2 linked regions of the Daphnia pulex genome follow. The protein of the gene in region 2 interacts with the protein of the main gene of each other region in a pairwise test. Links are inferred from orthologs where the notes say so. Each region holds a gene or a part of one and is shown on either strand. Other genes may lie near its edges. The genes, in order: smoothened homolog and kinesin-like protein KIF7.

Region 1 (4,458 bases), on a different chromosome or scaffold from region 2:
TCGTTGGACTTGTTCATGTTCCTCCTTTGTAAACAGCGGGGAAGTGCAAGGCAGTCCGCATCCGTCAACTCCTTCAACATAAGCCAAACTATTGTCCGTTTCCACCAGAGGAGACTGGCACTTTGGAGTGATGTTGAATTTCAATTCTCTCACCTCATTCTGCAAGAGAAAAAAGTTTCGTTAGTAATAGCAAATGAATGCACATAATAATTACAAACTTTGCAGCCAGAAGGGAATTTTTCAGTGTCTTCACATCTCATAAAATCTGGCCAGCCATTCCTGTGTTCAAGTTCCACAATTCTGCAAGGATTACGAATAACCTTGCACATTTCCTGTAAGTAAAATGTCATTGAGTGATTGAACATACTTATTCTAATTTTGTATGTACCTGAGAAGGAAGTTCTACTGTTCCATTTTCACATCTTGGCATGTAGAGAGCACACAAAAAGGGTTGAATCACAGCCCAGCATTTGGGAACACTTTTCAAGTTCTGCCAAAACATGAGCTTATCCTAGAAGAAAAACAAAGGATTAGCCAAACCTGTAAAAGGACAATGCAAATCATGTTGCCAAACCTGAACATCATCCTGAGTGTGTGAATCGGTAACCAGTTCCAAAGATGTTTGTGAATATGGTAATTTCGTTGTCAAGCAAATGTTGTTTTTGATTGGCTGACATTTTGCTGTTTTACGGCAGAAATCTTGTCCTTCAGTCCTTCTCAAGTCACTAGTTAAGGCGTGCCGTAGGTAAGGCTGCTCAATCCTCGACCTAGAGCCTGAACTTGTGGGTATGTCATTTAAAACTATTCCTCCTTCAGTGCTACTAGATTTCGGTCTGGCGACAACTGTGCCGATGGACAGAAGAAAGGCCACGGAAACCCACTTCATTCTTCCACACGCCACTGAACTTCAATATTCCTCACCAGTGAACAGTAAGCCGCAAAGCCAGCCACATTTGCGGTGCTCAGAGTTACTTTTTCTTCAGCAAACAACACGACAGAATTTCAATTTTTCCAGCTAATCCAACATGACTGACATTAAAACTTTCGTTGAAGCTTAATATCTTAGTTTTTTCCTTTGAAAAGACGCAACAAGAGACCCAAGGACAAGGACAAAAAACTTTGCTTGCTGCTCCTATGTTTTTAAACGACCCCACACGTCGAACCCAGGTGAAGCCGTTTCTGGCCACATTGTTTTTGTTATGCGGAAATAGAATTGTTTGTCATTTGTTTTTCTTTACAATATATTATTAGCGTTATTCAAACTTACTGCGAAAATAAATGTTAAAAAATTATATATATTTTAAAATAATACGTTAAATTTCTAATTGAGGAAGTTGTGTGTGATTTTAGTTTTTACTGGCTGGATATTGTTTCGTTCAAAGGGCAATTTAGGCGGCTGGTTTTGAAATGAATATTCACGCCATCAGAACATTTGGAAGTTTGCGAAATTTTGGCCATTAACTTGGGTTCGCGAAGAAGCCAACCAAAAGAATTACAGTCGCATTGTAGCATGGTTCCTGCATAAAAAGGTTTTTAATTATTCGTGAAAGCCAAACGTGAATCAATTGAGTTTACCGTGAAGTTGGATATGTCCTGCACCACGGGCGAGTACATTTAGAATCGGCCGAAAAGTAGCTTCCTCCAGTTGGGTGAGATTAGTTTTCTTCAAGTCAATAATCGTGCTAAAGCTAATCCCTAATTTAATGATTGAATTAGCTATTCATCAGCAGAAATTTAATTAAAATCATGTGTTTTCTACCTTGGATAGCATTTGGATGAATACCACTGCTCAAGTCGTTATCACTCAAGTCTACCAGATCAACTCGCGGAGATAGAAAATGCAAATCTCCAGCATCCAACTGTCGCAATTGATTGCCGAAGAGAACAATCTTTCTCAAACTAGGCAAGAAAGCTAGATCAAGAGGTTTGATAGTTGTCAACTTGCCAGAGTTCAACCAGAGCGAGTGAAGTTTAGGCAGTTGCGGTAGATTGGGTGGAACAGAAAACCTATTGCCATAAAGGTGTAGATATTGCAAGTTGGGTAAAGAAGGAAAATCCTAATAAATGCAAATGAGAAATAACCGTGAGTGGTCGTGAATTTAAACCGGCCAAAATCAGAAGGGCATACTATCAATTGATCGACGCTGGCTGTCACTTCAAAGTCGACAAGATTTTCCAAGTCAGCAATTCCTTGAACTGAAAGGACGTTGAGCGACGGCGATGAGTCGAAAGTCAGGACACGAAGTCTATCGACGGAAGCGGCAAATGCGTGTGGCATAATCTTGCTCACGCCAGTCACATTTTGGAACAAAATGACGACAAATGACTTGTCACCAAGGAGATTGGCTTCCAAGTCATCCAAGTGGCTGTGTTTCACCGTCAAATGCCAGAGTTGATTAACAGGGTACGGCGGTTCAAAGATTTTCATTAATTGTTGGACACTTTGTAGGTTAGCACAAACCATGGAGACGACATTGTTCTCGGTTTGGCATTGACACGGCGTAATTAGACGAGGATCGGGACATGTTGCAATTATTCCAGTCACGAATGTGGAAATGATAATAATCGACTGGAAAATGTTCCAGCGGCGCACAATTGATTCAACCAGATCCGTTTTCATCATTGTCAGAGATGCGACTGAAACTTTTTCGTGAGTCTTATTCGTTTTGTGCTGGTGTTATTCAAATCAGGTTTCTCCCTCCTCTTTTCTTCTTCTTCTTCCTTTTCTTCTCCGCTTGTGACTGGCCATTTAAAACACGGGTAGTGATTATACATAAGCCCTTTAGCGGCGAGCGTGTGCGCAACTTTGTAGGCCATAAGGTCACCTTCACCATTCGATCCATCATTATAAGAATGAGTGCACGCACGGTTTCCACTTCCTTATTACTTTGCTCCACTACTCTATAATTGTCCAGGTCTATTGATTATTAAACGAATCCTAAATAAAACTGTGGAAAAAACAAAACAGTAATTTATTCAACAACATTGCGAAGAACTCGAAAGATTCTGTTCAGCCCTATCCATATTTTTGCTTTGAAATCTGTCACAATTTTTTTTCTTTTGATAAGAATCGTTTGTTAAAATAAAATAATTATATCAATTTTATTTCGAAAATGACCTATTTGTTGGGTATGGAAGATGAACCTATCGGTAAAGACGATAATGCAATAATTAACTTTCAAGTCAACAAAGTTGGGGGAAAACCGGTAAATCCTTACTTTTTTCATCATAAATTTACTGATAATAACAAATAATTTTGTATCCTAGAATTGGGCAAGTGGAGACTACCCAAATCCTGGTTGTAAATTGTGCAACAGAAAGATGTTACTTGCTGTTCAAATTTATGCACCTCTAGATGATTCCCCGAATCACAGAACATTATACCAATTTTGTTGCCTGGCTCCTCAATGCCACAGCAAAAAGGAAGGATGGATTTGTTTACGGGATGAAGTAGCTGATACATCTACCACTTTAACTTCTGCCAAAGTACAAACAGCAACTACAGCCTCAACCACAACTTGGATTGATGATGCTGACGACTGGGGTGATGACGAAAATATGGAGAGTGGCACTGGGACCCCCACCACTATCAATGACAGACCTGATGAAGTTACTGTGCATGAACTTGAAATTGGCTCCCTAACAATCCAGAACATGGACAGTTCTAGCCCTGAACATCCTGCACCATCAAACAGTGCTGATACTTGTGATAATATGATGAATGTCCCTACAGCGGAAGTAGAAGGTGTTGAAGAATCTGTTCTGTTAGATGATCTACCTCCTCAGCCAACTGTTGACATCAGAACTTTCTTTGCACCTCCATCTGCTCCTATTCCCGATTTTTCTGGCTCTGAATTCTCAAGCTTTTATCTCAATGTGGTTGAAGAGCAATACGCTGCTGTACTCTCCGATCAAAAGTTGGACGAGCGAGCCAAACAACTTTGGGAAGAATACCAACGCCGGGAAAATTGCGACTTGAAACAAATGCAGAAGAGCAGTAAAAGTACTCCAGGTCGAGTAGACGAAGTGTACGAGAAAGTTCCCCCTAGTCACGGCGATCGATTGGTACACAAGTTCGTCACTCAAGTGCAGGCCTGTCCCGAGCAGCTGATCCGCTATAATCGTGGAGCAAGTAACCCACTTCTACTCAAGCAGCTCGCCAAAGAAGACCCGGTCCTTTTTAAGTGCCAACATTGTAATGCTACCCTTGTCTTCGAAATGCAGCTGATGCCCCATCTTGGTCAACGCTTGACAATAGAAGATTCTGCAGCGCAAACGCCTGGCATCGAATTGGACACAGTTTTAATCTATTCTTGTTCTAAAAGTTGTTGGAACGGAGTTCCGCGTGAAGAATACTTGATTGTTCAAACGGAAATATATTAAAGCCTTATAGTTGACCAACATTTTTAGCATCGATGACTCTAGGTGTACATAACCATGTAAAATGTCTGATTTTCT
Region 2 (4,521 bases):
ACTAAACCAACATCTTGGGGAAATTTTAATCTTTATCGAATTTTAATCTTGATCAACGTCAAGACCTAAGTGATCAGTATTTTATGATAAAACGTTTTTTTATTAACCTTGGAGGGTTGTGATGCTTTACACAAATTTATGGTCGCAAATTATCATTGTCTACGAGCTGATGATTTGTCTGAAGACAATGAATATGTACTGGACTTGGACTTCAGTGTTTCGTCTATACGTCAGTCTAATAGATAGAATTTGTATGAAGTGTTCAACGAAACTGGTATTCAAAAGCGAATGTGGCTTCGATAAATGCACAAGGTATATCTCTTATGTTTTCTTTCATTTTATTATTTTTTACTTGAACAACGTTTCTTATTGTTAACAATTTAGGAATGTACATATCCTCAAATTTTTCACTACGGAATAGGTGATCCTGTTTATATTCCATATGAAAGAACTACTTTTGAACCTCCTGTACTTGTACCTGTATCTGCACTAGAAACTTTGCCTGTTGGAAATTTCAAGGAAGCAGAGGAAGAAGTTTCTTGTATGGATGTTGAAGATGTGGACGATGGCGTAGGGGAAGTAGCTGAAATTGAAGAAGAAGACGTCGTCACCAGTCAACAATTGGAGAATGGCATGGCCAAATTGGTATTTTTTTATTGTTTTTTACTGTGTAATGTCATTATTTCTAATATTAAATTTTTTTAGGTCAACATGTACAATGCTTTTTTCGAACAATCGAGAAAAATGAGTAAGCAGTTCCGCTAAAAGAATGATGACATTCAAAAACTTAAACAGTTTCTTGAAGCTGAAAAGCAAAGGTAATCGTGATTAATTTTTTTCGCAATTTTAATTTCCTAATAATTCCATTTTTTTTTAGATTAATGCAGTGAATGGATGACGAGGAGTGGGAGGTAAAGGCTGTCCTGGACGACGAACAACATGACGGAGTCGAGTATTTTAAAATATGTGTAAGGTGCAAAGCTAAGTAGCAGTTGCCATTAAAAAATGGTAAACTTGGAAATCTAGCCGCTGCGCTTTCTTTTTGAGGTGTTGGTAAAGTGCAGGGTGCAGGTGCAGGTTAGACGGTGGGTAAAGTGCGGAACCCGGAGTGCAGGGTGCGGCGTGCAGGTAGGTGGGTAAAATGCAGGCCCAAATGCTGCTCACAGAAAGTGCAGGTTAGGTTGGTTGAGTGGAGGTTTAGATGTGGCATGAAGTTATTATTTTGACCACTAGGTGGCTGCCATTTTTATATTGAACTTTTTTGGAGTTTTGTATTGAACTTTTTTTGGGTTTTATATTGACTTTTTTGGTTTTTATATTAACTTTTTGTTTTTTATATTACTCTTTTTGGTTTTTATGTAATACTTTTTACCAGTTTTTATATTGAATTTTTTTATTTTTATATTCTTTTCTGTTTTATGTATTGATATTTTGAAAAAAAATTTATATTGAAAAAGTGGCGGTTTTGGGCCCTCATAATTCAGCGCGCAACAGAGTGTAGACAATAAATAAAAAGTACACGCAAATGGATAATAACTGACTGAAGGCAGTCAAACATAAAATTTCACTGCACATTGCACTTTTCCTAACCTGCATTTTAGTGTAGAATTCTAAACCTGTATTTTACCAAGGGAGCCGCTCGGTTGGGGAAAGTGCAGGGCCCCTGCACTCCGGGTTCCGCTTTTTACCCACCGTCCAACCTGCACCTGCACCCTGCACTTTACGGACACCCTTCTTTTTTTGACATTTAAAGTAAAAGGGAAAAGGTGTTGTTGTTTCTGTTTCCTTGAAAATAATAATATACAATTACGTCAGGTGTTGTGTGATCATCTTTTCCTACTGTCAGTTGTGCGATCCGAATTGTTAATTGGTTAATTTATCCAACAAGAACTATTCTTAACTGTATTATCAATGTCGTGATGCTTTTCAGCGCTAGTCAAGACAGGGATTTACAAGCCCGAGTTCAACTCGTAACCCGGGTAAACAAGAACTTTAACCATTTTTTTTTTCATTAAGTAATTGTATTTCAACCCATTGTTCACAATTTTTGAAATTTAACTAGATTCGTTCACTACAAACAACTGATCATGTTTTACCAACACCATATTTTCAAATTGATCCATCCCATGGAACAATTGTGCTGGGAAACAATCGGTTATTTCATTTGGGCAATGTTCTCCCATTTGATTGTCCTCAACAGGCAATATTCAAAGGATATGTCGAGCCAATTGTCAATGCTTGTTTTGATGGTCTGTTAAATAATTTAAGAAAAGAACTGTTATGCAACTTCTTATACTTTTAACGTCATCTTATATGGTATTGGTATGTCAGGTTTCAACATAACTGTAATAGCGTATGGACAAACTGGATCTGGGAAAACATTTACAATATTTGGACCTGGATTGCTCTACACCATGAATGAATCTGATTTTGGTATGGTTCCACGGACTGTTCGTAACTTGTTTTACAAAGCTAAAGTAAACAGTTTGAAGTAATAAATATGTGAAGATTAAATAACTAAATTGGTTTTTGTTTGATATTTTGGGAATTTTTTTTAATTAGGAATACCCCGGAAGACAGATCTCTATCCAAGCAAGCTATTTAGAAATCTATGATGAAGAAATTCATGATCTTCTGAGTATGGAACCCTTTCATGGTGAAATTACTGTACAAGAAGATCAAAATGTATTATTTAAAAAAAAAAAAAATTTAAATGTGAAATTGCTGATAATAGCAATGCTATAATTATTACATATTGAATTTAGGGAGAAATCATCATCACTGGAGCAACACAAATGGAATGTCATACCATTGATGATGTATTTAGCTGTCTTGAAACTGGTCTGGCTTTAAGACATACTGGGCCCATGTTAAATCAACTCTCAAGTAGATCCCATGGAATTTTCACACTCTATATGCAACAGGCATGGACACAAGGTTGACTACTTTTCTTTATTCTTTTGTTGATAATTTTCTCAATGAAACTTGACATATTTTCTTTCAGATGGATGTTTGTATGAAGTGTGTTCTAAACTCCATTTTGTCGACTTGGCTGGATCGGAAAGACTTGGCCTCGGTGTTACCAGTAATCATGGAAACGACGATACACAACTAACAGGATTTCAGGAACCATTTTCCATTAATTCTGGCCTTCTTGCGTTAAGTAATGTCACGGCTGCATTGGGTGATCCTAGAAGAAAAGCTAGCCACGTGCCTTATTGGGATTCGAAATTAACCTACATTCTGAAAGTGTGTTTATTTTGTCAAAAACATTTCTTTTTCACTCTCTCTTTTGGTTACGATCTAACTGTGCATTTAAATTTATTCATGTAGGATTCACTGGGTGGTAATGCCTTCACCTTGATGATTGTGTGCCTTTCTCCTTCGGCTTCTGATTTGGAAGAGACGACGAATACGTTGAAGTTCGCATCAAGGGCAGCAAACATTTGTAATCGCCCAGTAGCGAATGTCCGCCTTACACCGATAGCTAATATTCCTTTGATGGCAATGGGCATAAACGCTCGCCCTTTTAATTTGGCTGGTGTGACGGAACTTGTGTCACCGCCTAACATTCCGCAATTTCAAATGAATGAAACTCCATTTACTTGTCAAGCTAATCCTATGAGGGACAATGAAGAAAATCGATCTGTATATCATGATCCTGAACAAACAGACGGAGATGAAGTTTTTAGGTCAGACTTTTAAATTTATAAATTGAAGCTTTCATTCAGCAATTGCATTTCTCTTTCCCATAGATTACGATTCGCAGCAAGTCAGTGGCAATTACTGGTGACCAACGCCGAAACACTTTTAAATGAGTTGGCTGCATCTGGGTTGCTTGGAAATGACACCAAAAACAAAATAGAATCTTGGCTTTGTTTGAAAGAGGAATACGCAAACTGTATTGATCCCGATTTGTTAACCATCAAACCGCGAAACAGAATTCAGAGTGATACCGATGGCAGTCACCTGACAGACTTGCCTATCACAACAAGCATATTTCACACCAGTGGTGAATCTAAAACACTCCATGTCATTGGTAACTAAATCTTTAGTGTGTGCGTGTGATAGTCGTTTTAACTATTATATTAATTTGTAGAAGAGGTATCCGAGCCCACTCCAACCCGTGAACTTTCTTCTGAACTGAGTAACAGGCATGATCGGTCGTCCATAGACTCGTCATCTGATGTAAGAACGGGAATAATGCAGCATTCTGTTTAACATAAAAAAACGTAAAATGAAAATATCGTATAATTTCTTTCATATTAGGGGTCTCACTTTACGGAGCAACTGGATATATTAAGGCAGCAATTTAGAGAAACAACTGACCGTTTAATCTCAAGCATCGAGTCAATGTATGATAACGCAACGTCTTTAGAATGGGGTGCATCAAATCCTATTGATTTATCTCAACACGCTGAATTTGACCGCGAACAATCAACTAGCAATTATAAAAGTGGGAATACCAGTCCGAAACCTCTAAGAACTGGTCGAAGAGTTAGTATATTCGGTCTTTCAAAT

The links.
Region 1: the proteins of kinesin-like protein KIF7 (region 2) and smoothened homolog interact in binary tests that used the Drosophila melanogaster proteins (3 or more experiments, as listed by UniProt). The link is inferred for Daphnia pulex from reciprocal best matches to the Drosophila melanogaster genes cos and smo.

What each region holds. Positions count from the first base shown.
Region 1 is NC_060027.1:3,194,231-3,198,688, reverse strand, and holds the start of smoothened homolog, read right to left. Parts: upstream 2,814-4,458; 5' UTR 2,129-2,813; intron 2,058-2,128; 5' UTR 1,760-2,057; intron 1,696-1,759; 5' UTR 1,576-1,695; intron 1,518-1,575; 5' UTR 887-1,517; coding exon 575-886; intron 512-574; coding exon 389-511; intron 333-388; coding exon 219-332; intron 160-218; coding exon 1-159. Other genes in the region: programmed cell death protein 2-like, read left to right, coding at 3,114-3,206, 3,268-4,383. UniProt on the Drosophila melanogaster protein: Segment polarity protein required for correct patterning of every segment. G protein-coupled receptor which associates with the patched protein (ptc) to transduce the hedgehog (hh) signal through the activation of an inhibitory G-protein.
Region 2 is NC_060028.1:3,196,912-3,201,432, forward strand, and holds the start of kinesin-like protein KIF7, read left to right. Parts: upstream 1-1,715; 5' UTR 1,716-1,919; coding exon 1,920-1,979; intron 1,980-2,062; coding exon 2,063-2,249; intron 2,250-2,331; coding exon 2,332-2,477; intron 2,478-2,562; coding exon 2,563-2,685; intron 2,686-2,765; coding exon 2,766-2,937; intron 2,938-3,004; coding exon 3,005-3,249; intron 3,250-3,333; coding exon 3,334-3,692; intron 3,693-3,755; coding exon 3,756-4,039; intron 4,040-4,099; coding exon 4,100-4,188; intron 4,189-4,269; coding exon 4,270-4,521. UniProt on the Drosophila melanogaster protein: Regulates cubitus interruptus (ci) processing by recruiting multiple kinases to promote its efficient phosphorylation.